Linked DNA regions of Sus scrofa. The protein of the gene in region 1 purifies or fractionates together with the protein of each later gene. This does not show direct contact. Links are inferred from orthologs where the notes say so. Each region holds a gene or a part of one and is shown in the gene's direction. Other genes may lie near its edges.

What was found.
Region 2: the proteins of HDAC2 (region 1) and TRPS1 purify together in Homo sapiens (co-immunoprecipitation; 4 studies listed by BioGRID and IntAct, with this or other methods). This does not show direct contact. The link is inferred for Sus scrofa from reciprocal best matches to the Homo sapiens genes HDAC2 and TRPS1.
Region 3: the proteins of HDAC2 (region 1) and SP3 purify together in Homo sapiens (affinity purification with western blotting; 3 studies listed by BioGRID). This does not show direct contact. The link is inferred for Sus scrofa from reciprocal best matches to the Homo sapiens genes HDAC2 and SP3.
Region 4: the proteins of HDAC2 (region 1) and SMARCE1 purify together in Homo sapiens (co-immunoprecipitation; 3 studies listed by BioGRID and IntAct, with this or other methods). This does not show direct contact. The link is inferred for Sus scrofa from reciprocal best matches to the Homo sapiens genes HDAC2 and SMARCE1.
Region 5: the proteins of HDAC2 (region 1) and CTBP1 purify together in Homo sapiens (affinity purification with western blotting; 7 studies listed by BioGRID and IntAct, with this or other methods). This does not show direct contact. The link is inferred for Sus scrofa from reciprocal best matches to the Homo sapiens genes HDAC2 and CTBP1.
Region 6: the proteins of HDAC2 (region 1) and DDX5 purify together in Homo sapiens (affinity purification with western blotting; 3 studies listed by BioGRID, with this or other methods). This does not show direct contact. The link is inferred for Sus scrofa from reciprocal best matches to the Homo sapiens genes HDAC2 and DDX5.
Region 7: the proteins of HDAC2 (region 1) and RB1 purify together in Homo sapiens (affinity purification with western blotting; 4 studies listed by BioGRID and IntAct, with this or other methods). This does not show direct contact. The link is inferred for Sus scrofa from reciprocal best matches to the Homo sapiens genes HDAC2 and RB1.

What each region holds. Positions count from the first base shown.
Region 1 is NC_010443.5:79,870,598-79,874,097, reverse strand, and holds part of HDAC2 (histone deacetylase 2), read left to right. Parts: coding exon 1-109; intron 110-1,128; coding exon 1,129-1,259; intron 1,260-2,231; coding exon 2,232-2,387; intron 2,388-3,500. UniProt on the Homo sapiens protein: Histone deacetylase that catalyzes the deacetylation of lysine residues on the N-terminal part of the core histones (H2A, H2B, H3 and H4).
Region 2 is NC_010446.5:23,153,627-23,157,126, forward strand, and holds part of TRPS1 (zinc finger transcription factor Trps1), read left to right. Parts: intron 1-2,602; coding exon 2,603-3,500. UniProt on the Homo sapiens protein: Transcriptional repressor. Binds specifically to GATA sequences and represses expression of GATA-regulated genes at selected sites and stages in vertebrate development. Regulates chondrocyte proliferation and differentiation.
Region 3 is NC_010457.5:79,935,486-79,938,139, reverse strand, and holds the end of SP3 (transcription factor Sp3), read left to right. Parts: intron 1-408; coding exon 409-725; 3' UTR 726-2,154; downstream 2,155-2,654. UniProt on the Homo sapiens protein: Transcriptional factor that can act as an activator or repressor depending on isoform and/or post-translational modifications. Binds to GT and GC boxes promoter elements. Competes with SP1 for the GC-box promoters.
Region 4 is NC_010454.4:21,783,267-21,787,209, forward strand, and holds the start of SMARCE1 (SWI/SNF-related matrix-associated actin-dependent regulator of chromatin subfamily E member 1), read left to right. Parts: upstream 1-1,143; 5' UTR 1,144-1,644; intron 1,645-3,630; 5' UTR 3,631-3,675; coding exon 3,676-3,682; intron 3,683-3,857; coding exon 3,858-3,901; intron 3,902-3,943. UniProt on the Homo sapiens protein: Involved in transcriptional activation and repression of select genes by chromatin remodeling (alteration of DNA-nucleosome topology).
Region 5 is NC_010450.4:493,128-497,302, reverse strand, and holds the start of CTBP1 (C-terminal-binding protein 1), read left to right. Parts: upstream 1-1,375; 5' UTR 1,376-1,501; coding exon 1,502-1,541; intron 1,542-2,682; exon of another isoform or gene 2,683-3,098; intron 3,099-3,896; exon of another isoform or gene 3,897-4,175. UniProt on the Homo sapiens protein: Corepressor targeting diverse transcription regulators such as GLIS2 or BCL6. Has dehydrogenase activity. Involved in controlling the equilibrium between tubular and stacked structures in the Golgi complex.
Region 6 is NC_010454.4:14,571,562-14,575,530, forward strand, and holds the start of DDX5 (probable ATP-dependent RNA helicase DDX5), read left to right. Parts: upstream 1-1,169; 5' UTR 1,170-1,588; coding exon 1,589-1,767; intron 1,768-2,198; coding exon 2,199-2,364; intron 2,365-2,742; coding exon 2,743-2,839; intron 2,840-2,921; coding exon 2,922-3,055; intron 3,056-3,168; coding exon 3,169-3,234; intron 3,235-3,478; coding exon 3,479-3,620; intron 3,621-3,699; coding exon 3,700-3,860; intron 3,861-3,953; coding exon 3,954-3,969. UniProt on the Homo sapiens protein: Involved in the alternative regulation of pre-mRNA splicing; its RNA helicase activity is necessary for increasing tau exon 10 inclusion and occurs in a RBM4-dependent manner. Binds to the tau pre-mRNA in the stem-loop region downstream of exon 10.
Region 7 is NC_010453.5:19,314,836-19,319,111, reverse strand, and holds the start of RB1 (retinoblastoma-associated protein), read left to right. Parts: upstream 1-1,476; 5' UTR 1,477-1,607; coding exon 1,608-1,771; intron 1,772-3,892; coding exon 3,893-4,019; intron 4,020-4,276. UniProt on the Homo sapiens protein: Tumor suppressor that is a key regulator of the G1/S transition of the cell cycle. The hypophosphorylated form binds transcription regulators of the E2F family, preventing transcription of E2F-responsive genes.

The sequences.
Region 1 (3,500 bases):
AATTGCCATATAATGATTACTTTGAGTATTTTGGACCGGACTTCAAGCTGCATATTAGTCCTTCAAACATGACAAACCAGAACACTCCAGAATATATGGAAAAGATAAAGTAAGACATCATTGAATTGATTTGATAAACCCTCATCTTGATATAGCTTTAGGAGCCTTTCGAAGGCCAAGTGCAGTAGGTCATGTTAAGCTTTATATGTAAGGTATTTATCTTTGTCAAAAGCAGTTGAAAACTTTATTGATTTAATTTTATACGATAATGGAGAATGTATGGGATTCATACATTTTCGGAGTTTTCAGAGTTCCCATCATGGCGCAGTAGAAACGAATCCGACTAGAAAACTGAGGTTGCGGGTTCAATCCCTGGCCTCTCTCAGTGGTTTAAGGATCTGGCATTGCTGTGAGCTGTGGTGTAGGTCACAGAGGTGGCTCAGATCCCACATTGCTGTGGCTGTGGTGTAGGCTGGCGGCCACAGCTCTGATTGGACCCTTAGCCTGGGAAAACTCCATATGCGGCCAGTGCATCCCTAAAACAAAACAAAACAAAACAAAATTTACATCTTGTATTAGTCGATATAGATTTTTCTTACTTTCTGGCTAGCTTGCAGCATATGAAAGTTCCAAGCCACGGAACAAATTCAAGCCAGAGTGCACCAATGCTGGATCCTTAACCAGCTGCACCACGGTGGGAACGCCAAGATGGATTTTTAAATTGAAAAGGACACCAAATTTTAAACTTTCTTGCTTTACACGAAAATGAAATTTATCTGTATTGAAACATTTTGATAACGCTTTACCTTAAAGAGTAAAGTGTTAGACATTGTACTACCCAGGCCTGGGTTTGTGTCCTCTATACCACACAGCAGCTCCGTGACATTTGGCAAGTTAACCTGCCTTTGTGTTTATATTTCCTTCTCCTTAAGATGGGGGGTGAAATATATATCATGTAAATTTTAAGGGTTAGTAATATGTAAAGTATCTGTTTAGTAAATGATAATATTTTACTTCATAGGTTAAGCTAGATAGAAGAGCCAGTTTTTGCTTAATGTTTCCTCTTACATTTAAAAGGGCCTTGAAAGAAAATAATATTTTCTAATAATTGTACATGTTGTAATTTAGACAGCGTTTATTTGAAAATTTACGCATGTTGCCTCATGCACCTGGTGTCCAAATGCAAGCTATTCCAGAAGATGCAGTTCATGAAGACAGTGGAGATGAAGATGGAGAAGATCCAGACAAGAGAATTTCTAGTAAGATAGTGCCCTTATGTGGGTTCTGTTATATTTTCTGGTTTATTAAAAGATCACTACAAATTGAAGGTTTTTTTTTTGGTGGCCCAAGAACCTCACTGTGGTTCACGTTTCGTGAGTATACTATTACTACTGTCTTTTCTTGCCCTCTTTAATCTTCCATAGATTTAATTTCCACTGTCTCAGAGCCTAATTTGAGTATCAGCAATTTCAGTTTATATAACTACATATATGATCAGAAGTTTCCACAAATGAACCATTTATGTAGAGTGAGTTGAATGACATTGAGCACCTTCTGTTTGATGTTACAGTCTCTAATTTCACTTGCTATGATGTGTAGATTTATAGCATAATTGTGTGGTCTATACTTGGTGTTAACAGTATTTTTTATTTCTCTCTGCTCTGAAATAAAAAGGTTACTTTTTATATGAAGATATCATTCCCACTTCCTATTAGGAAAGCACAATTTTTTTTTTCCTCTTAAGCAGTTTGTTTTGTTTTTTAATGAGGAGTAACTTTGAATTACTCCTGGATTAAAGCTGTATTTTCAGAATTTAGCAAGCCATACATTCAGTTCTTATCTCAAAATCATTAGGCATCTGTTATCCAAATTTTTTTTCTTTATAGGGCTGCACCTGTGGCATATGTAAGTTCCCAGGCTAGGGGTCGAATCAGAGCTGTACCTGAGGCCTACGCCACAGCCACGGCAACACTAGATCAGAGCTGCATCTGCAACCTGTACCACAGCTCACAGCAACATTGGATGCTTAATCCACTGAGCGAGGCCAGAGGTCAAACCTGCATCCTCATGGACACTCTGTCTGGTTCTTAACCCACTGAACTACATCGGGAACTTCTATACTTTTAAATGTTGTAACTGGCTAGTTCATTTGTACAGGAGTGCACTATAACAGTTGTCAGACATTGAGATTGCTTTTGTCAAAACTATATTAAAAATCTTTAATGTATTAGTTCGAGCATCAGACAAACGGATAGCGTGTGATGAAGAATTCTCAGATTCAGAGGACGAAGGGGAAGGAGGCCGTAGAAATGTGGCTGATCATAAGAAAGGAGCAAAGAAAGCTAGAATTGAAGAAGACAAGAAGGAAACAGAGGACAAAAAAGCAGGTAAATGTGTTTTAATTGTAAATTTTTAAAAATGAGCTGCACTGCAGTTGTTACGAGATCCTGAGGTCAATTGCACGGGTATTGGAGAGGGGGTAGGTGTGCCAAGTAGGTGACACCCCCCCCATGTTATTTAGAGCTAAATGTTATTAGTCACATTTGCTTTTATAATATAGGAAACGATCTCTTCTTAGTGACATAGGCTTAAAATAGTCAACATTGCATTATGATACAGATTGGGTAAGAGAGAGGACAAGGTAGTTTTAGATCCATTTGTAGCCTGTCAGCAAAGCTGAAATCCTAAGAGAGTTTTTAACTACCTGTAAGTTTATTTGATAGGAATAAAACACAAAAGGGCCACATTATCTATCCTTATACCAGTTTCACCATTTTGAAAAGGCTCAGAGAATAGGCTTTGTTCAGAAATTGTTTGAAGGAAACAAAAACTATAGAAAGGAAGGGATTTGGAAGCTGGGCTGGGAGATCATAACTTTCTGATGTCTTAACTTTAAAAATGCTGTCAGTTTATTGAGAAAATAGATGCTTTAGGGCATTGAATTTGCTACCAGAAAGTATTATCTTTTTTCTGAGTTCCCGGAGCACTAATACATACCTTGATCATTTTATTTTATTTTAAGACATCGTAGTATAGCACCTCATGAGGGATTTTATATAGCTCTCTGCTGGATTGACGTGTTCATGGCTAGAGAATACAGTGTCTTAAATCTCTGTATTCTCAGCACCTGGTGCATTTCTTTTTTTGTCTTTTTGCCATTTTCGTGGGCTGCTCCCATGGCATATGGAGATTCCTAGGTTAGGGGTCCATTTGAAGCTGTAGCCGCCAGCCTACACCAGAGCCACAGCAGTGCAGGATCCGAGCCGCGTCTGCAGCCTGCACCACAGCTCACAGCAACGCCAGATCCTTAACCCACTGAGCAGCAAGGCCAGGGATTGAACCTGCAACCTCATGGTTCCTAGTCGGATTCGTTAACCACTGCACCATGACTGGAACTCCGTGGTACATTTCTTGATGGATACCTGATACCAATGTGCAGTAATGGCAGTGAGCACAGGTTTCAGTTGACCTGTTAATTTTGACCATGTAGCTTGTAGAAA
Region 2 (3,500 bases), on another chromosome or scaffold:
TTCCTGAAGGATACTTTTTTAGTTTAGAAAGTTCATCTGTTGACAAGAGCTGCCTTTAAAAATAGGAATTAATAAGAATGATTAGTAAACAGCAGTCTATTTCCCTCTGCCTTTTTCATTTTGTTTGGCATTTTTACCCCAGCTCTTAGCACAAGGCAATGAATAGATTACAGCGACAGGGAATACATTTTTAGACCAAAATGTCCTCATAAATGGACCATTAGAAGCACTCTTTAAAAAAATGCATGAGGCCAACAATACTAATTGGTGGCAAACTGTAAAAATCTTAGTTATTAGCATGTAGCTAGTAGAAGGATTCCCACCCATCCACCACCATCACTTTCCTTTATTTTAACCTTCACCAGTTAAGCACAGTAATAAGCTTCCATTTAATGAGTACTGACATTAACAGTTTTAATTGAACTCTGGCCAATCAAAGGCCAAAAATTAATTAAACTACTGCTCTTCCCAGTTAAGGTATTTTAACAACTGTTAAATAAACTAAACTTTTTTTTTTACAATTATTTAAATATTCCTCTCTCCACAGGTGAGATGTTTTCAATTTTGAAGGGTTTTTAAATCATAAATTTAAATACATAAAGGTTAGGCTCACATTTCCTGTCAAAGACTTCCACAAAATTTTGAAATTTTAAAAAAGGTGTTAATGCAAATTTCAGATTTCTTTAGAGGACAGAGATTAAATACCGCATATTTTTATAATATGAACATGAGCGCTTTATAAACCTGAAATTCTGAACAAAGTAAATGAACATGGAATAGCCAAAAGATGTGGCATTTTCATTCTGAAAACCAGTAATTTACTTGTCAATAACAAATGTGTTTTCCTTCAAAATATTCTTGTGACAAGAAAAACATTCCAAAAGGATTTATCTTTTGCTTAACATATAGCAGAATACTCTCTTGCATTAAAGTGCATCCTTTCTAGGTATAATTCACAAATTATGTATAGTTTATATTCATATTTTATGTAGAAATTATTTCCTGATTTCGGTAATCTTTTAGAAAAATCAGATTTTAGCCCATTTAAGGATTCTTCTAAATTTTTAAGCTATAAATATGCAATAATTTATTAAACATGTTCTTTTGATTTTATAAATCAAAGTTAGAGCTCTTACTGCAAGGAAGTTTTTATTATAGTCTTAACTATGGATTTAAGTCATGTAATATAAACACCTGTTGAACATGTACATAAATACCAATCATATACTGCTTAAGTCAAATAGCATACTTAAGTGAAAGTCAGTTTAAGTATAGAGTAAAACGACAGCTTGGATAGTTGAACTGAGACGACAAATAAATTTAGATTTTCAGCAGAAAACAAATACTTCACCTGTCCATAAGTAAAGTCTTCCATAGTGGATACTTATATAATTAAAGGAAAAGAAATCAAAGTGAGTAATTTTATTTTAAAGAATATTAAAAAAAAAAACAAAACAAAACCTTCTCACAGGAGTTCCTGTTCAGTCCTCTCTTGTTTTCAAGCAGATTAAAGTTTTTCAGTCCTCTCAGTGGGTTAAGAACCTGACAAAGTATCTATGAGGATGCAAGTTTAATCCCTGGCCTGGTTCAATGGGTTATAGATCCAGCATTGCCATGAGCTTCAGTGTAGATCGAAGAATGTGGCTCGGACGGTGTTGCTGTGGCTGTGGTGTAGGCTAGCAGCCACAGCTCCAATTGGACCCCTAGCCCAGGAACTTCCATATGCCTCAGAAGGAAAAAAACAAAACAAAACTCCCTCACTGAAATGGCTTCGATTACCTGATATCTTTTCTTACAGTTCTGTTGGTTAGTCTTTGATTACATTTATGATCTTTAATATTTTATATTCACACTTGCCTTTATTTAGAAGAATATATATATCAGTCTCCTGGGGTTGGCCTAACAAAATTCCAGCAATTTAGGTGGCTTCAACAACAGAAATATATTTTCACACAGTTCCAGAGGCCAGAAGTCTGAGATCGGGGCACTGGTGTGCTTGAGTTCCAGAGAGAGCCCTCTTCCTAGTTTGTAGTAGCTGCCTTCTGGCTGTGTCCTCATTTAACCTCATTTATCTCCTCAAAACCTTATCTTCAGATATGATCACATTGAGGGGTAAAGCTTCAACCTGTGAAATGAGGGGCAAGAGGGCCACAGGTCAGACTACAGTAATGTACAACTTTTCCACATTTGTCTAAAAAAACTTGTCTCCCCTGTTACTGTGCTGACATCTTGGTGCAGGACTCAAAAGTTGAGAAATATTTCATAAAAATCACATTGCTTCAAGTAACTTTCTATACAGTTTTATCACTAAATGATCCAATTCCAAAATCTATTGAGCTTGGAAAAGCTGTTTTCAAGCAGATTAAAGTTTTTCAGTCCTCTCTGTAAAGATGGGCATGATTTAATTAGGGTAAAATAGTGTGCTTCGGTTACTTCCTCTGATCCTGCTTAGGGCAAAAGAAGGAGATTTAGTAAATCTATAACATAAAACCTATCTTTGCTTTGAACTTAAGCATGGTTTATATTTGCGAGGAATTGTTAATGCATTTTAATGTATGTTTTAATGTTTCCCTTTTATGTATTGTGTGTGTGTTCCCCGCAGACTCCCAGGCCTTTAAACATCATTAAACAAAACAACGGTGAGCAGATTATTAGGAGAAGAACACGAAAGCGCCTTAACCCAGAGGCACTTCAGGCTGAGCAGCTCAACAAGCAGCAGAGGGGCGGCAGTGAGGAGCAAGTCAACGGAAGCCCCTTAGAGAGGAGGTCAGAAGATCATTTAACTGAGGGTCACCAGAGAGAAATTCCTCTCCCAAGCTTGAGCAAATACGAAGCCCAGGGTTCATTGACTAAAAGCCATTCTGCTCAGCAGCCAGTCCTGGTCAGCCAAACTCTGGATATTCACAAAAGGATGCAACCTTTGCACATTCAGATAAAAAGTCCTCAGGAAAGTACTGGAGACCCAGGAAATAGTTCATCCGTATCTGAAGGGAAAGGAAGTTCTGAGAGAGGCAGTCCCATAGAAAAGTACATGAGACCCGCCAAGCACCCCAACTATTCACCACCAGGCAGCCCTATTGAAAAGTACCAGTACCCACTTTTTGGACTTCCCTTTGTACATAATGACTTCCAGAGTGAAGCTGATTGGCTGCGGTTCTGGAGTAAATATAAGCTCTCCGTTCCTGGGAATCCGCACTACTTGAGTCATGTGCCTGGCCTACCAAATCCTTGCCAAAACTATGTGCCTTATCCCACCTTCAATCTGCCTCCTCATTTTTCAGCTGTTGGATCAGACAATGACATTCCTCTAGATTTGGCGATCAAGCATTCCAGACCTGGGCCAACTGCAAACGGTGCCTCCAAGGAGAAAACGAAGGCACCGTCAAATGTAAAAAATGAAGGTCCCTTGAATGTAGTAAAAACAGAGAAAGTTGATAGAAGTACTCAAGATGAACTTTCAACAAAATGTGTGCACTGTGGCATTGTCTTTCTGGATGAAG
Region 3 (2,654 bases), on another chromosome or scaffold:
ATAGTAAGGGTTGAAGGTTAAGTGGCAAAGCTCTGACATGTTAATACCTTAAAACTGTATTTTTCTTTAAAGAAGAAAGTATGTTCTAGATGGTCATTTTAAAATTGGTATCCTGTGACAGATGTTTCAAAACAAACTAGTCTAGTTGAGGTATTGAATTCTTATCTATCAGTGTATAGTCTAATGAGTTTGAAGATTGCTTTTCCCCTAAAAATAGAGTTGACAGATTTATTTTGAGGAGGAATATTCTATGAGAGATTTTGTAGGGATAAGCTCATGAAACTAATACAATTCTAATTGAACTCTGCTCCCTGTCCCTAACTGTCAGTGATGGTTTATTTTCTTTCTCAGGAAATGATCAGTCTGTTTATGGTGAATTAAAACTAAGTAACTTAATTTTTTTAACAGGTGAGAAGAAATTTGTTTGTCCAGAATGTTCAAAACGCTTTATGAGAAGTGATCACCTTGCCAAACATATTAAAACACATCAGAATAAGAAAGGTATTCACTCTAGCAGTACAGTGCTGGCATCTGTGGAAGCTGCACGAGATGATACTTTGATTACTGCAGGAGGAACAACACTTATCCTTGCAAATATTCAACAAGGTTCTGTTTCAGGGATAGGAACTGTTAATACTTCCACCACCAGCAATCAAGATATCCTTACCAACACTGAAATACCTTTACAGCTTGTCACAGTTTCTGGAAATGAGACAATGGAGTAAATATTACACAAATACTTATTCATTGTGGTTATTTTTATACAGTAGTGAGAAGAATATTGTTCCTAAGTTCTTAGATATCTTTTTATTGATGTGCAAAAATTTTTGGATTGACAGTAACTTGGTTATACATGACACTGAAATGCCTTACTTTGTATGATATTCCATAGTATATTAAAAATGGTAAAATTGCATGGGTTTTGTAGGTACTTTTGGAATCTAGAAGAAATGAAATTTTACCAAGTTATATAAAGAGAAAATTGAATTTAACAATGCGAATGGTAGTCTAACCAAATGCATCAATCCTGTGTGGTTTAGTGTAAAAATGAGAACATGTTGGTATTTATCTATTGTAAGATAAAAAAAAAAGTTGGTGGGTGAAAGAAATCATGTTATGATAAAAATTTTTGTAATTTTCTTGATGACTGGAATTTTTATTATGCATAACTGACAAATCAAGTTTCCAAGCAAATGTTACATAGTGTAGGCTTTACTTAGCTTATCAATTTGTCATTTTGAAGCTAATTATTTTAATTAGGTTAACTATGTACAATATTTTAAGCATTACTCTTGTAAGATTTTGAAAACTACATTTTAACATGGAACTCTAGGGATAGTCACCTTTTAAATCCTGTCGAAAAGCCATGTTTAAGATTTAATTTGCCAAAATAATGTCTTGTTAATATTCTTTCAGTAACGAAGTTGGGCAATATAACCAATGTTTAAAAAAGTTTAAAATGTATAGGTTGAGGCATTTGGGTGGTAAGAAAATGTTATAGTGTATTATCCCTTTTCTTGAATATTGGAGGACCAAAAAATAAGGTGTATTGCGTCTTAGCAGTGATTTTTAAATCCAATCTTGTTTCCAAAACCCATATGTCTGCCAGGGCCTTAAAAGCCATCATGTAAATTACCAATAAAGTATAACATATGCAAACATAACAAAATTACTTCCATAGTGACGATACTCCAACCATATGGATATTAGTCATAGAAAACTAGAGGTTTTATGATATTTTTTTAAGTCTTTTTTTTGTTTGTTTGTTTGTTTTTGGTCTAGGTAGTCTGCACTTAAATATCAACCATTTTCTTTTTTGCTTTTTCCTTAAAATTTATATGTATCCAATACAATTAATTGAGAAATGTATGTTTTTTATTATGCTGTATTTTCTTTTTATTTTTTAATTATTGTTTATATTTTCAATTATTAAAAAATGTACAAAATAAAGTTTCATTGCTGGTCTTATAAGAGCTATACAAGTTTCCTAAATGTATACCTGTAACTGCAGCAGTTCACCTATTTCAGAAATTTGGAATTCTGTTCATTTGTTATTCTTAAGACCACCTCAAATTTAAAGGCTACCTTATTGTACGTTTAAAGTGTATTATAACAGTGTGGTAGTTAATAAAACACTATTTTTTTTTCTTTTGAGTTTGTTGTATTCCTATGCATTTAAAATAATTGCAGTGATATGGGGTTGGAAAATCTGTGTGATTTATTTTTTCTTAGCATTTTATTTGGCGATTCTTAATTTCAGATACTGAAGTTACCATAAAGAGGTATATTTACTTAAAAAGGAAGGGTAGAGTTCTAGCAGATTACTTTTTTTTTTTTCTTATTAAGTAGAACTTTTGGGAAAAAAACTTGTAACTGTTAGCTCACGTTGATCACTAAGGATTTTATCGATGCCATTTTACAAACCTTGTTTTTTGTTTCCCCTTTTAAAGCAATGCAGAATATTTTGATTTATCAGAAATGTGAGTTTATATGAAGGTTCTTGATAAAAGGCAAGTTTTGTTAACCATGGCAAGAGTTATTTGAAAAGATTTTGTTTTTGAATTTATGTATGTTTAGTCATAAAAGAAGGAAAAATCAACAATATTAATATGAGCATTTGAGATGTTTTTTAAAAATCCAGTTACTTTCTACGA
Region 4 (3,943 bases), on another chromosome or scaffold:
ACCAGGGAACTCCAATGCCTTTATATTTTAAAAAAGCAACTTCGTGTACATTACCACAAGCACCACTCAGGCTGCCCGTCATCCTTTGATGATTTCTTTTTCAGTCTTTCCCTTCAATATGCTTTTCAATTTCACTCATCTCTAATCATGAGTATAAAAATATTGGAGGTGGAAGAACTAGACAGAGAGTCACTCGTTCTCTGGCTTGGCAGACTTCTAGAGTTGCCCTAGTCTCTGATGGCACACTCAGGATGGCGGATGGCGGCTAAGGGTAGCAGAGGAATTCACGCAGTCACTCTAAACGTCAACAGTGTTTTCGGGTAATTTCAGATCCTTCTCCCTCCACTGTGGCCTGCAACATCGGCCAAGTGTTTATATATCCAAGGAAAGGCTACTATCCATTCAGTAAACCAACTTATTTATGATTTAGTAGAAAGAGCCCTGGTCTAGGCCAGAATCTGCCTCCATAACGTGTTTACTGATCATCTGACAATGAGTCAAGCTCCTCCTGGGTACTGGCGATGCCAAGATGATCAAGACTGAACCTTTGCTTTGGAGGCTCTCCTGTTAAACGGAAGATGACAAAGACGGTCTGATACAATGTATCAGGTAAAGTCTATAATAATGCTACCAAAGAACCTTGGGAGTTAGAGGAAGGATTAAGGGTGGAGAAGAGAGCTTCCGAAGGGCATCACAAACAGAATTTGAGCTGGATCCAGAAGGTCACTTGCATTTAAGCTAAAAAGTGAAAACCATCGTTCCCAGGGGAGGGAACCGAATGAGCCAAGGCGCCTTGGGACAGGGACCCTTGCCAAGAGCTGCAAGGGTACACAACCTGGGGCAAGAGGATTAACATTTCCGGGCCTTGGATCAGAAACCTGTGCCAGTCACACCAGGCTCGCGCTTGGGAGACCTAGAAAAGTGCCACGGTGCTTTCGCCAAGCTCCTGCCCGGCCTTTAAGGCAGGCAGCCCTGGGAGGCGCGCGGGACAACGCAAACTCGGCGAACCGGGCGCTCCACGCCTCCATCCCCGACTTGTTGACGTATACACTCCGGCTCCCACAGAAACAGGAACGAAGACCGGAAGAAAGAAAGAAAAAAAAGAAAAGAAAAAAAAAAGCCCGCGGAGGCGGGAGCGTGCGCAGCCCCAGCCTCGCCCGGGTGGCGCGCGGCCCGCGCGGCCACAGTGGTTCCGGGGCTCGCGGCCGGGCGCGCTTCCCGCCGCCTTCCGGCCCCGCGCGGGGAAGCCGAGGCCGCGCTCCCACCTCCCCTCGGCGCAGCCTCGCACCTCCCGCCGCGTCACCGGTTGCCGCTCCAGCTCCTCACCGCCCGGGGTCCGGGCCTGCCCCGCGGTCGGGCCACCTCCGCCCTCTCCGCCGTGACGAATCGGCGCCGGCTGGCAAATGCCCAAATTCGGGGAGTTTTGAGGAACACATGGAGCCTGAAAAAAATCCTTGACTGTACTAAGCACCACCGCGCCCCCTCGAGAAGGTTTATTTTTCTAAAGAGAGTCTGGTGGGGCTTGGAAAGGAATTCAGAAGAGTGTTGAAAGTGCGAGTGCGGAAGCTCCGGACGCGAGGGGCGGGGCGTGCGCGGGACAAAGGGAAGCGAGGCCGGAGCTGCGGGCGCTTTTTCTGCCCGCGGGTGAGTGTTCCCGACTGGGCCGGACTGGGTTGGGAGGGTGCCGAGGCGTGGTGTCCTGGCTTGGCCGGACCCGGAGTTCCCCGGGGTTGCTGGGGTTCAGGCTCGGCCGCGGGGCCGGAGCCAGGGGCCAGTTGCGGCCTCTCCGAGGCCTAGCGGAGCGAGGGTGGGGAAGCAGTCCCATCTGGGGCTCCTTCTTAGCGGCCAGATGCGCCCCTTCCACTAACCCCGCGAAATTGATCAAAGCACCCCTGCCCACTCCTCTTTAGTAGAGTTGCTGCTCAAGTGCATCCTTCACAACAAACCTAAAGGATACGACCTCAGAGGAAGCCCTTGGGGCAAGCCAAGCCCGTGCTCCTCACCCCCAGGAAGGTTGTTTCCCCTTGCTTCAGGCAGCGAGCTGAGGACTCACGATGTGGTTCGGAAACAGACTGGCCTGGGTTTGAAACCCAACTCTGGCGCTTTTTGGCGGTGTGTTTTTGGACAGGTTACTTAAACTCGCTGAGACTCCCTTTTTTTCCTCTGTAAAATGGGAATACACACATCTCGTTGGTAGTTGTGACTGTGAAACCAGATGGTGTAAGTAATAAGCCTGTCCCGGTGTAAGGTATTCAAATATTTATCTAGGGTTTTATGCCAGGCGCCGGATCCAGGGATGGATCCGGTGGTGGACAAATGTACAAGTTCACTCATGGAGTTTAGAGTCTAGCAAAGGAGATCAGTAATTTTAAAGTATTAACAATCAAGTGTGATGTACCAGGGAGTCTGTGGCAGTTATTGTCAGGGCTCCCCACAGCAAGGCCTACTGGACGTTGACAGCCTACCTGAAAGTGAGCAGGGAGGAAATCTGCACCTGACTCAGTAGTTTCCTGCCTGTTCCTTAAGGAGAGAGGGAGATTCCCAGGTCGGGCCATTGAGAAACACCTTTTTTTTTTTTTTTTTTTTTTTCCACACCATGCCTCTTATTCATAATGCTTCAGGAATTCCCTTCAAATGCAAAATAGAAGCAAAAAACTAAAATCATGTTTGTTTCACATAATGTTGGATGAAAGTACTCCAATAGCCATACAAGTTGTTTGCCTTTAAAAAAAAAAAAATGACATGTCTTTGTAGGCACCGTGTGTGATATGTTTTGAGGTAAGGAAGATGCTCGTGTGTGCACGGTCACGCAGTGGGCTGGTAATACCAAGACAAAATTCCTCAAGGATTGAGGCGGGTCCTGGGACTACAATAATGAATTCGATGGTCCCTGTTTCCAGTCTAGCCGTGTGAACAGGTTTAATAGGATACCATAGAGCTGTGTAAATTGGGTAGGAGTGCAGATGAGGAAGCAATTCATTCTGCACGAGTGATTTGTCAGGAAAGCTCCATTGAGGAAGCTACATTTTGAAACGGGCTGAAAGGTTTAATAAAGAGTTTTTTCAGGGAGACTCTCAAAATGTATTCCCAGCAGTTATAAAGCTATTTATCACCGTAAGAGAATGTAAAGTTCATGACCACACCAATTGCCTTTTGCACTGCCTCCCGGAATAAAATATGGCTCCATTTTAATAGAAGTTGTTGTCCCAAAAGGAAGGCAGAGCTGCGGCTGATCTGGTAGGCCTTGTTGAGGTAGGCCCCGATAATACATCACATTCTATTGTCACTATATTTTTATCAATCTGGTTAAGTATTGCCATGGCATCGGCAAATTGTTTTCAATACAAGAGGTGGCTCGGTATCCCAAAAAAAAAAAAACAAAACCTTTTGAGTACATGCCTAATATTACTTTTTAATATCCCCAGTAATTTGTTTTAGTCATTTAATTCTGATCAACCAAATGACCTAAAGGCTAGTAAAAATTTTAAAAAGCTTGATTACTAGAAGATAATGTAATTTTACTAAGAAATACCAATTAAACTACCCTTTTCTTTAGGGAAAAATTCTCTCTTCTGCTTACCGAGTTTTGATTATCTTTTTTTTTCTTTTTTTTTCTTTTTTTTATTTTAGTGTCTCAGATTCATTCTTAAGGAACTGAGAACTTAATCTTCCAAAATGTCAAGTAAGTTTCATTTTTTATATTTATCAATCTATATTAATAAGAGACTAATGCCCTAGCAAATGGGAATTCCAAAATACTCTCATTTTTTTTCTTCAAAACAGGACCATTGGTAGTTTTGTTGCATAGTATTATATCTCAGTTGTTTACAAGAAGTTATTTATTTTCTTTCAAACAGAAAGACCATCTTATGCCCCACCTCCCACCCCAGCTCCTGCAACAGTAAGTTTTAATTTTCTTGTTAATGTAATAGCCAAGTCTGGC
Region 5 (4,175 bases), on another chromosome or scaffold:
TGCGTCCACTCACACTTCTCTGATTTATGGACTTTAAAGATGTATAGACAACAGGGTTGGTTTCAGGATGGCCCATCATGTTTCATCAACTGTACCAACACTTGAGTGCTGGTCACGGCTGTTGCCTTTTAAGGAAGTGATTTTTGGAGTTCCCGTTGTGGCTCAGTAGGTTAAGAACCCGACTAACAGCCATGAAGATGCAGGTTTGATCCCTGGCCTCGCTCCGTGGATTAAGGATCTGGCTTCCGATCAAGCTGCGGTGTAGGTCACAGATGCCGCTAGGATCTTGCGTTGCTGTGGCTGTGGTGCAGGCTGGCAGCTGCAGCTCTGATTTGACTCGTAGCCTGGGAACTGCCATGTGCTTTGGGTGTGGCCCTAAAAAAAAAAAAAAAATCTTTTTACCTGGGAAGAGAGTTATACCGCCCATCCTCATGGCCACCTCGTAGCAACGCAACTCCCAGGACAGTGTGGGTCTGGGGAGAAAGGTCTCCAGAGTCTCCTGGGCCCTGCCCCCGTAACCTCACCCGGGAGACCTGGTTAGCTCCCACCCTGAAAGCCCCCATGACCCTTGGGTGGCAGGTCCCCTCTGGACTCTGGAACTAAGCCCAGGTGCTCTCTCTGGGGCTGAGGCGGTGCTCACCCTGACACCTGCTTCAGCCACATCTGGCTGCTTCCCAGGGACCCCACCCCCACCCCAGACCTAGGCAAGTCCCTGCCCTTGGCTTCGAGCAGCTGTCCTGGGGACTCCTGTCCAGGCTGCTCCGCCCAGACACGCCCTCCTCGGTCCCTGGAACCCAAGCACAAGGCCAGGGTTTCCCAGAGAAACCCTCCCGCGTTTGTGCCGCTGCCTCCCACGACCTTGCAGCCGCCAGGAGTCCAAAGGACATTCAAACCACCGGTACCCAGAAGCGCATTCGCTCGCCCAGCCGCCAGCAGGAAGGTGCGAGACCGGTGCGGCCCCGAGGGTGCGGATGACAGCAAGTTCAGCCCATCAGTCAAGGCCCAGTGGATTACAAGCAGGTGGGGCCTGGCAGGTTCAGGGCTGGTGAACGTGGGGGCAGGTGGGATCTGGAGGGTTCGGGGCAGGTGCGTGTGCGGGCAGGCGGGGCCTTGGGGCTTCTCAGCAAGTGAGTCTGCATGTGCTGGGCAGGTGCATGTGCGGGTGCGGGGCGGCGCGGCCGGCGGGGGCGGGGGAGCCCGCAGGCCGGGCGCGGCGGGCGCGGCGGGCGGGGCGGGCGGGCGCGGCCTGCAGCCGTCCGCGTGGTCCTGCGCGGCGCCCGCGCCTGGAAACAGGAGGCCGCCGCGCCGGAAGCCCCGCCCGCGCGCGCGCCCTGTCCCCGCCCGGTGGAGCGGCTGCTGGCGCGGCGCGGCGGCTCGGCACGGCGGCGCCCGGCGCAGGCGAGCGGGTGGAGCAGCGGACGGCGCCCAGGCCGCCCCACGCGCCGGGCTCGCGGCGGAGCGCGCCGGACTCGTCGGAGCCCGCGGCCGCCCGCGCCTTTCAATGGGCAGCTCGCACTTGCTCAACAAGGGCCTGCCGCTCGGTAAGGCCGCGCGCGCGCATTTCCGGCCGCGGGGGCGGGGCGGGGCGGGGCCGCGGGGGCGGGCGGGGCGGGCGCGGGCCCGGCTTTGTGTGCGAGTGCGCGTGCGCGCCGGCGCCGGCGCGCCTCCGGCCGGGGGCGGGGCCCGGGAGCGCCGCGCGCGTGCGCGTGCTGCTGCGTGCGAGTGCGCGTGCGCCGCCGCCCGACCCGCCTGCGCAGGTGACACAAAGGGGCGCGGGGGCCCTGGGACCCCCGCACCCAGGGTGCAGGCCCCGCCAGGCTGGCGCAGCCCTTGCTGGTGGGGCCCTGCGGAGCGGTCTGGCGCGCCGATCGGGGACCCGGCGTCGCTCGTGGCCGGACTGCGGAGCCGAAGCGGCCCTCCGCGAATCCGCGGCGCGGTGTCTTCCCTCACGCTTTGCTCGCCCTTTCGATCCCCACCGGCTTATGAAACGTCCGAAGTGCTGCGTCTGCCGAGGCGGCGCCCTTCCCGCTCACCAGGCGGAGGTGGCAGCAGGGCGCCCGCCTCCTTCTCTGAGCCTGTCTGTTTCCACCTGAGTACCTAGAGTGGTGTGACCCGCTTCTGTTTGTCCCCAGGCACCTTATGCCGCTCTTGTTTTGAGAAGTGACAGGAGCAGGCACCATCCGTGCCCCCGGCAGCACTGGGGCCCTGAGCCTGGGGCTGGCCGGGGAAGGCCGGGTGGGGGGCCCCCCCGGGGTGGTGTTGGTTTGCTGGCCGCTGTCTACATCCCTATCCGGCCACTTCCGCCGCGTCGTGCCCACCTGTCCTGCCACCTTGCACAGTCCCTGCTCCTCCTGGCTTCCAGTAGCTGGCCTAGGGCCTCCTTGTGATTGGGGTGGCGGGAGAGGCGCCACCCGCAGCTTCTTCCGTCCTCTCCTGCCGCCCAGCCACTGGAGCCTATAGATCAGGGATCGCGGACCAGGTTGGGGGGGGGAACTAGCATGGCCCCTGAGCTTTGGGCGGAGCTTTCTCTAGCTGGTGCCAACCTGCAGGCTAGGGAAGGCGCGCCCCTGGGCTTGCAGAGGGAGGGCCTTTAAGCAGGCAGCCGGAACTTGGCTGGGGCAGCCCCCTTTCTGGTGATGCTCTTCTCTGTGATTGGTTAGGAGCCATCACCCTCGAGAAGCGGGATGGGATGGGTTCGCTTCCGGGTGCTCTGAGTTGAGGAGACCGAGGTGAGCCCCTCATCCAGCTCCTGCTTCTCTCTCTTCTCGGGGTGGCTGGAGAGTCGGGTTGCAGATGGGGGCCCAGAGCCTGGACCACCGTCACATCCATGGAGGCGTCCCCCCCCAGCTCCCTCCTTCTCCCTCTGCACAGGTCGCAGTTTCATTTGCCTGAAAACATATGCAGGCAAACACTAAGGAGGAAGCCGCTTCTCAGCAGCGTGAACGTTTGGGGGTGCCCTGTGGGTCAGTGCAGCCTGTCCACTCTTGTGAGCCTCTGGAGGAGTGACCACAGCAGGCAGGAGCACAGACCTGCCTCCGGGGGCCCTGGCTGAGCCCTGGTGACTGGGGCATAATCTTGGGCCCTTTATGGGACCGTCTGTACGTATCTCTAAAGTGGGCCGGCAGTGTGAGACGTGGGGTCACATGAGTGGGCCCGTGCCAGGGGCAGGGCCCGTGCCAGGGGCAGGGCCGGGACTGGGGACTTGGGGGCAGGGAGGGACACGGCTGGGGGAAGGGCCAGGGGCCAAGGACAGGGCTGGGACCAGGCCCATGGAGCAGAGGACAGGGCAGGGCCGGGGGCAGCGCCTCTGCTGTAGCTGCGTGGGCTCGGCGTCATTGTCCTTCCTGTCCCAGAATGTCAGCTGTGTGGGTCCTGCCGGCCCTCGTCGCGGTGGCGTCTCTGGCTGGGGCCGCCTCGGTCTGGGGCTGCCCTTCCTGCAGGCGGTCTGTCTGTCCACAGGCTGGGTTTTACCGTGGTCTCTGGGCGTGCACGTGTTTTGGTTGGGGCGTCGCTGCTTGGGAAGGCTGGGCTGTGTCTGTCCCCCGGCAGGCACGTGCACCCTTCATTCTCCTGCTCCAGGGAGCAGGGGCGGCTGGGCCGCGGTGTCTGGGCAGCTGGACCTTCCTCCCTCCCAGCTGCGTGCGGGGTTCCCCTTCCCGCCTCTTCAGCCTCAGGACACTCAGGAGGGGGTGCCTGGTTCTGTGGGCAGCCCCTACTCAGCCCCTGGTCCGAGAGGCTGGAGCCACCCCTGTGCCTGCAGCGGGGAGGGTGATTTTCTGATGAGCGGCTGCATGGAGGGCCCGGCCGAGCTGAGCTCCTCTCCGCCCCAGCAGGGCCCTTGGGGTCGGCCAGCAGCAGCTGTCGCTTGGCGGGGGCTTCTTTGGGCAGCTGGCCGCGCGAAGGCACTGGGGCCACGATGGGGCTTTTCTCTCTGATGGTTTGCCCCCTCCCCTGGCCGTCCTGTGTCAGCGCCCTGGGGCCTTGCCTGCCGTGGGACTGAGAGATTTGCCCCCAGAGCCCCTTCCCGGGAGAGCCTAGTGCTGGTCCCTGGCTCCGGGCAGAGGCAGCTGTGTCTGAGGCTTTTTGTCCTGTGGGAACGCTCCTTCTAGAAGACTCCTAGTTTCCCCCGCTGGTGGCGTGGGCGCAGGGCTCAGAGCCCGGGGGGCACGTCCGTC
Region 6 (3,969 bases), on another chromosome or scaffold:
GGAGCTCAGGGAGGGCCGCACGCCGCAGACCCAGTGCTGACAGGAGGGGGAAGCAAACGAAAGTGCCGGGAAGGAGGGATTAAAAAGGGAGGGACGTTAAAACCGCTTCTCGTTGCTGATTGGTCACCACAGGACCACTTCCTTTCGCAGCACGCGCTGGGGCGGCGGTTTGCGAGCTCTAAATACCATTCTCCGCCGACCAGATCCCGCTAAGGAGTTCTCAGGTGGGTGGGTTTAACAGCCCCGCGGGTCAACCAGCCGACCTGGCCGGTCTCCCCGGGCAATAGCACTGCACTTCCGGCGAGCGATTTCGTTTTGTACTCCTCCGCCGACGCCATCTGGAAAAGTAGTGCGGCCCGCTCACCCGGTGGGCGGGGGGGGAGTCACGTGACAATGTCAGGCTCCGCCTACCCGTCTCGCCGGGTTGTGGGCGTGAGGGCCCTTTGGAGACGTAAACATTTCCAAGAGAACCAAGTGGCTTGGTCTGGGTGGGCCATTTCATTGTTCGTGCTGGACCTGAAAAAGGGCGGGGCGACTTCCTTGAAGTGTGGAAGACAAGGAAAAGGTGAAGTCAAGAGAGTAAAAACTGAGGCTTCCCAGTAGTGGGTGGATGGACCCACCCTTGAAAGGAGTGAAAAACGGGAGGGATGGTTTGGGTGGGGGGAGGAGAAGGAGGGGCGAGAACATGGCGGATTTCGGAACGCCCGCGGGCGGTGCGGCCTCGGCGCAGGGGCGGGGTGATTAGGTCATAGAGCAGCTCCCAGCGTTCTCTGCGGCGGAGGAGGCGGTCCAGGCTATAAAACCGGCTGCCGGGACGCGGCCGGCACCTCATTCATTTCCACCGGTCTCTTGTCGGGCAGCTTGGGCTCCTGTCATCGCCGTCCCTCCGCCGCTGCCGCCCCCGCAAGGCTTCGCCGTCGTCGAAGCCACCTCCAGCGACTTGTCGCACCCGATTCTCTGTGCTTTGTTTCCCGCCAACCGCAACCATTGACGCCATGTCGAGTTATTCAAGTGACCGAGACCGCGGCCGGGATCGAGGGTGAGTGTGGGAACTGACCTGTCAGGCCCTGTGGGTGGGGGATGGGATGCCGATGCGGGGGGGCGGGGTGGCGACGGGAATTCGGCTTCCTCAGCCTATGTTTGGGCCTCGTCCCTCAAAGGCTTGCGCCATTTTGATATTTTTGAAACTGCCTGGGAGTTTCATGTTAATGGTTCTCGAGATCTCTTCTTTTGTCTGGGATGGGGCATCGCGGCCTCGATGATTTATCAGCTCTTGGGAGAATTCCAAGGAGCGTATTTCGAAGGGAGGGGAGCGCAGCGCTTCGAGGCGGACGAAATCGCTGCTGTTAGGTGCAACCTTTCGGAAGGTGTTTTGGGGGCCCCAGGAATTTTGTGGGTGGCGAGGGGGCCGTCTCCGATGCCGTTATTGCGGCGGGGGCAGGACGGTGACCGGCACCGCGGGAATCGGCCATGTGGCTGAGCCGCGGGTACAAAATGCCGGCATCGGACATGGCGGCGGCGCCTTTGTTACCCCGCCCGGCGGAGGAGCTCAAAATGGCAGCGTCGAGAAAATGTGGCGCAGAGAGAAATGCGAGACAAAGGGGGAAGCGCCGCCCCAGCGGGAACGCCGCCCGGCCGACTCCGCCCGGCAGGGACTCCTCCCCCGGTAGTCTCCAACGCCTCCTTTTCTTTTTCCTTACGTTTATATAATTTTGCTACCTTGATCGCGGTCCTTTCTGGGGCATCTCTCCAAGTCATTCGGCTTGCGTAAGTGTCCGCGAGATAACCCACCTTTTTCTGCTCTGTGTGCTGTTCCGTTATCTATTAAAATCAAAGCTCCTTTGCTTGAGAACAGCTGGTAGATAACATCGCTGTTAGGCTTATCCTTTCTTGTCTTTCTCTCAGATATTTAGTTTTTAAGTTCATGGGAGAGATTAGTAGCCCCAACTATTGACGCTCCTTGTAATCTGAACTTCTGGCATTCGGGCAGCCACTTTCCGACCTGTGAAATCCCGGGCTGATGATTTGGGTTCAATGGCGTGTACTTGGTACAACGGGAAATGAAAAGGATGCGGTGCTAATTGTGGCTTTTGAGAGAATGACCGTCTGTTCCACCTGGAAGTCTTTGATATTTAGCATGTGCCAAGGGGTGGTTAATATGTCTGTACGTGTTCGAAGATGTGACTTTTTAATTTCAGGTTTGGTGCGCCTCGATTTGGAGGAAGTAGGGCAGGGCCCTTATCTGGAAAGAAGTTTGGAAACCCTGGGGAGAAACTGGTTAAAAAGAAGTGGAATCTTGATGAGCTGCCCAAATTTGAGAAGAATTTTTATCAAGAACACCCTGATTTGGCTAGGCGAACAGCAGTAAGTAATTTCATGTGGTTTCTTCAGGCTGTAATTCAATAATTAATAACTTTGCAGTGAATCAAAATCTGACTAGAAGTTCCCTGCACATAACTAAGTTTTGGGGAACTCATGCTGAGTAAGTAAGGATCTTACTTACTTTGGGGAAGAGGAGTTACTACTCACTTTTGGAGACAAGTGACTTTTTCTACTTAAAATGGTTGGGTGTAACGTAATAAGTGGTTTTTGTTTGTTTAGGGTTTTTATATGGATCCAAATTTTAAAAGGCCATCTTAAAGTAGTTAAGTCAATTATGAATTTAGGAGCTTATTGGTTGCATTTTCAGTTAAGGGGAGTTGTCATGAGAAGACAACTGGATTTTTGTAATTTGTTTTGTAGCAAGAGGTAGAGACATACAGAAGAAGCAAGGAAATTACAGTTAGAGGTCACAACTGCCCAAAGCCAGTTCTGAATTTTTATGAAGCAAACTTTCCTGGTAAGTGCTAGTTTTCCCTACCTTAAAAAAAAATTCTTTCTCTCGGCATTTCTAATTTTAACTTACTTGTTTATGATTACAGCAAACGTAATGGATGTGATTGCGAGGCAGAACTTTACTGAACCCACTGCTATTCAAGCTCAGGGATGGCCTGTTGCTCTAAGTGGATTGGATATGGTTGGGGTAGCACAAACTGGATCTGGGAAAACATTATCTGTAAGTTGGGCAACTTGTAATTCTGTGTCGAGTGATTGAGGAAATGGGTTGGAAGTTAAAAGAAACCAGAAATATTTTAATGTGTAACTTCTGTTTGCCCCTTCTCTGAACAGTATTTGCTCCCTGCTATTGTCCACATCAATCATCAGCCATTCCTAGAGAGAGGTGATGGACCTATTGTAAGTATACCTTAAGCTTTGTTTAAAAGTACAGAGATTTGTCCAGTAGAAAGCAAATGACAATTTGTGGTGATTTTAAGTGGAGACGTTAGCTGTTTTGTACCATTTATCTGGAAACAAATCTGCTCTAGGTATTGGACAGCAAAATAAGTCATGTGCTGCTGTAACACTGATATATCATCACTTCAAAAGTAGACTCCGGAACTCTGCTGAAAGGTATTCATTCCACTTTCTCTTTTCTTAGTGCTTGGTGCTGGCACCAACTCGAGAACTGGCCCAACAGGTACAGCAAGTAGCTGCTGAATACTGTAGAGCGTGTCGCTTGAAGTCCACCTGCATCTACGGTGGTGCTCCTAAGGGACCACAGATACGTGATTTGGAGAGAGGTACAAAACAGAAAGTGTTTGATTTGTCACTGGTGGTGCTAAAATTCTAGATGTCTTGGTTACATTTTTGTGTTTAAAGGTGTGGAAATCTGTATCGCGACACCTGGAAGACTGATTGACTTTTTAGAATGTGGGAAAACCAATCTAAGACGGACCACCTACCTTGTCCTTGATGAAGCAGATAGAATGCTGGATATGGGATTCGAACCCCAAATAAGGAAAATTGTGGATCAGATAAGAGTAAGTACTCTTTAAATGTGTCTATCTTTTCAAACTTTGCTCTAAATTTATTCTTAGAATACAAGGCTTTTTCTTTATTCCAAAAATCTTTAGCCTGATAGGCAAACCC
Region 7 (4,276 bases), on another chromosome or scaffold:
GGTGAATGGAATTACCACTTTGGTGCCATTTGCTCTCTATGGATCTGCCTGGGCATGAACTCTACCTCCTGATAAACTTCTGGCCCCCGACAGAGAGTTTCCGAACTGAGGCAAGACTGGCTGTTGACTAGGCCAATCCTTTTTTCACATTCTGGCACATGCCCTGGTTAACAAAAAAATGGTAATCCTTCGTATGACTCATCGGGATAAAACCAAGAGCTATGACTTGCCTGAGGGCGCCTCATGCTTCAGCCCTGCTCAGCTGTTCCAAAGATGAGGGGATTCGCCTCAAGAGCACAGCTGTATTTTATTCACAGCACCTCAGCTGGGAAGCTTTGACATGGCAACACACAGCATTTGCCAATGAGGGAAAAACATGTTCTCAAACAAGACAATCTCTTATTATAAGTAAATATCAAGAGACAAAAGAGACAGTTTCTAAGCCAATGTTTAATGGTTGCAATTCCGGCAAACTCTTCTCTGATGTCTTTGTGCCTTTGCACAAGCTGTTTCTCTTTTCTTGGTATTTCTTTAACATAATGTAATGGACAAGTCGAGTCAAATATATCTGTGTTCAAATCCTCTACCACCTATCATCTCTGTAGTATCAGGCAAATTAATTAACTCCTCTGCACCTGTTTTCCGCACTGGAAAGTAGAATTCGACTACGACTCAGTTTAAGGGGATGTTGGTGAGGATTAAGTAAGATAATTATGTAAAATGGCCAGAACAATTCTTTATACATATAGTAAGCCCTCCTTAAATGTTAGGTCTGTCTGGCTAACTTCCATTCAAATGCTACTGCTCCTCGGAAGAAGTCCCTTAAACATTTCAACCGTGGCTTCAGTTTTCACAGCGCGATTAAAACACTTAGCACCCGATAATCAGTTCTTTGCTCACAGCTCCCACCCCTTTCCCTAAAAAGAGCTCTAAAAGGCCAGTCATTGTCCCCTCCTTGGGATCTCCTAGGGGTTGGCCAAACTCAGCTCCTAACAGGCATTCCAGAAGTGTTTTTGTTTTGGCCGATTCGCTTAACGGATTGGGCGGGAGGAGGGCGGGCGAAAGCGAGGGCGACGCCCGCGGAGGAGAGGGGCGTGCCGGCCCAGGGTGCGCTCGCCCGATATTCCCCGCGGGCTCGAGCCGGGCCCCAGATCCACCCGCAGATTGAGGTGGGGCCCGCTCTCACCCACCAGGCTGGGTAGCGCCCGGTTACCGGCACCCAAGCCTGGAGGGGCGAGTTTCGGCGCGAGGCAGGTTCAGGCGGCGGCGGCTGCCTCAGGGAGCGCGCCTGGATCTCCAGGCCCGGGTTCCCCGCCCGACCGCGCGCCCTCGCCCCGCGCCCCGCTCGGCGCCCCGGTGCCCTCCAAACGCCAGCGGGCCCGGGAGCCTCGCGGACGTGACGCCGCGGGCGGAAGTGACGTTTTCCCGCGGTTGGACGCGGCGCTCGGTTGCCGGGCGGGGGAGGGCTCGTCCGGTTTTTCTCAGGGGACGTTCAAATTATTTTTGTAACGGGAGTCGGGAGAGGACGGGGCGTGCCCTGACGTGCGCGTGTCCTCCTGCCCCGGCCCTCCTTCAGCGCTCGCCGGCACCGGCCCTGGGAGGGCGTCATGCCGCCCAAAACCCCCCGGAGAGCAGCCGCCGCCGCCGCCGCCGCCGCCGCTGCTGCTGCGGAGCCCCCGCCGCCGCCGCCGCCGCCGCCGCCACCGCCGCCACCGCAGCCTGAGGAGGACCCCGAGCAGGACAGCGGCCCCGAGGACCTGCCTCTGGTCAGGTGAGCGAGCCGACCCGTCGCGGCGGCCAGCGCGCGGGAAGGGCGCCCCGGGGGTGCGTCGGCGGGCGCCGCGGCGTCTAGGCGGGGGCGCGTCTCCGCCCGGGCCGGGTCCCGGCGGGAGGAGGGTCCTCCCCGGCCCCCCGCGGCGGCGGAGCGCCGGGAGGAGGCTGACAGGGGTCTGGGGTCGGGAACGAGGGGAGGGCGGCCGGGAGGGGTTTCGGCTCCCGCTTGACAGGTGTCGAGCGGGTGGGGCTCGGGTCGCTGAGCGAAGTGACAGGTGCCGCCTTTCCTCCGCGAGACGGGAGCCTCGCAGGCGGCGGGTCGTTTGCAGACCCCATCAAATGCAGAAGAAAGAAAAAAAGAAAAGAAAGACTAGATTGCTGGAGAGGTTTTTCCCCATTTGAGATTTGTAGTCCTCCGGTGGTCTTTCGACTTTCTGTTTTGGTCTCCCGCGGTGCAACATTTGGAAGTGTTTTCCTCTGGGCGTGCGACTCATCTGAAGCCCAGTCCTGGGAGAGGCCAGCCAGGAAAACCTTGGATACTGCTGCAGAGATGCCACCGGACGTGAAGTGCAGGGTTCTGGGTGGCAGTTGCCCCTCCGGGAGCTCGGCTGGGGTGCTTTTCGGGGTTCCCTTGTAAAGAGTGCTTTGAGTTCTAAGCCTTCGGTAGTGACTGGTGGAACATAGCTCTCTAAGAGGAACTTGTTGTATCGGTAAAAGTTTTGTGAGACATTTAGCTCAAGAGCTTCGAAGTTTCTGAACGTTCTCATTTTTCTTGTTGCATAAAACTCTTCTTGCATGATAGTCTGCTTCAGGCTGCCTCTTTTTTTCTTCCATTTTGCCTTTTGGCTTTGAGCCAGCAAGGATCTTGGTGTCTCTTTTGTATTTGTTTGGGAACAAGATTAGTGTTCTTGTGCTCACATAAAATTAATTTTCCCCCCAGGTGGATTCTAAATTTCAGCGAGTCCATGATAATATAGGGAGATAGTTATTGCAGCATCTTATTTTTCTTGATTGTGATGCTTTACGGTTTAGAAGCCAAGATCGAAAGAGTGTAATTGTCATTATCATTGTTAGCACTGGCCCTCCTTTGAGACTACGCATCAATTGCCAGGGGATGGGACTCTGCTGATCCTCACCACTCTTTCCTGCAGTTCTGATCCGTCAGCAAGTCCTATTTCTTTCACCGCCCTAGGACACATTGTTAGGGACTGAAGTGGGCTTTTGGAAATACCAGAACAGCACACAGTCTTCATTCTTGAGATAACCAAAAGTTAATTGTGTTTCAAAGGAGGTTTGGCAGTCTGGAATAGGGTCAGGGGCATGGATTAGAGAGTTAGATTACTGGGTTTATATTAGAGCTTCCCACTTACTCGCTGTGATCTCAGGTGAGTGCTTTAACTTCTCTGATTTGTGATCATCAGAGTACTTACCTGTTAGGGCTTATGTATGTATTAAACCATGCATCTAAACCCCATCAATTCATTTAAATCCTGTTCATATGGAGCATAGTAAATACTAAAAAATTATTAGCTGTTCCTTGTACTATACTATTCTTATGTCAAATAGATATTAAGTGAATGAATAAGAATTAGCCAACAAGAATTTTTTGACTGCCTATCTTGGTTAAGGAAGATCAAGGAGAAAAGGCTGAAATAAGCATATCAATAATTTAATCATATAAGAAACACTAGTAGTAGGTAGAGAGATTAAATGAATCGTTGTTGAGAGTGGACTGCATTTTAGCAAAGTCACCGATACTGAATTGGTTCTGTAATGTTATCTATGGCTTTCCTTTTCTGTTACTGTCCCAATTTTTCCTAACAGCTGTAGCTATTGTACTTGCTTTTCTTCCCAAAGCTATGTTGCTGCACTGAAGTTCCTATGATTTACCAGGCCAGCAAACATTTTTCACTATGTGGTACTCTTATTTTGGAAATACTGAAAAGATCAACATACGTTTAAATTCTAAGTGTAATTTTTTAAGCGATAGTTAAGATCCCAAAGTATTTGGTGATGTCTTTCAGAATAGTGCTATATTATATGCAAACCAGTGAAACCAATGCTTACGTAATTAATTTGATTATAAAAGTGCCTTTTATATTATATTTTCATTTGGTAGGCTTGCATTTGAAGAAACTGAAGAACCTGATTTTACTACATTATGTCAGAAATTAAAGATAGCAGATCATGTCAGAGAAAGAGCTTGGTTAACTTGGGAGAAGGTTTCATCTGTGGATGGAGTATTGGTAAGGATTGTCTTAAAATTTTTTGAAAATATTTTTCTCATTTTAAAAATTATTTTAAATCACCATAGAAAATTTGGAAAATAGAAAAATATAAACTAAAGCTAGGAACAAGTCTATTATTCAGAGGTAACTTACTTCTGATAAAACTAAAAATTAAGGAAAAAAACTCCCTATGTTAGCTCCCCACCAAAAGCATTTTAAAACAACTCATAAATATCATATTTTATTTGTAAATACTTCATTGTGCCATAAAGACT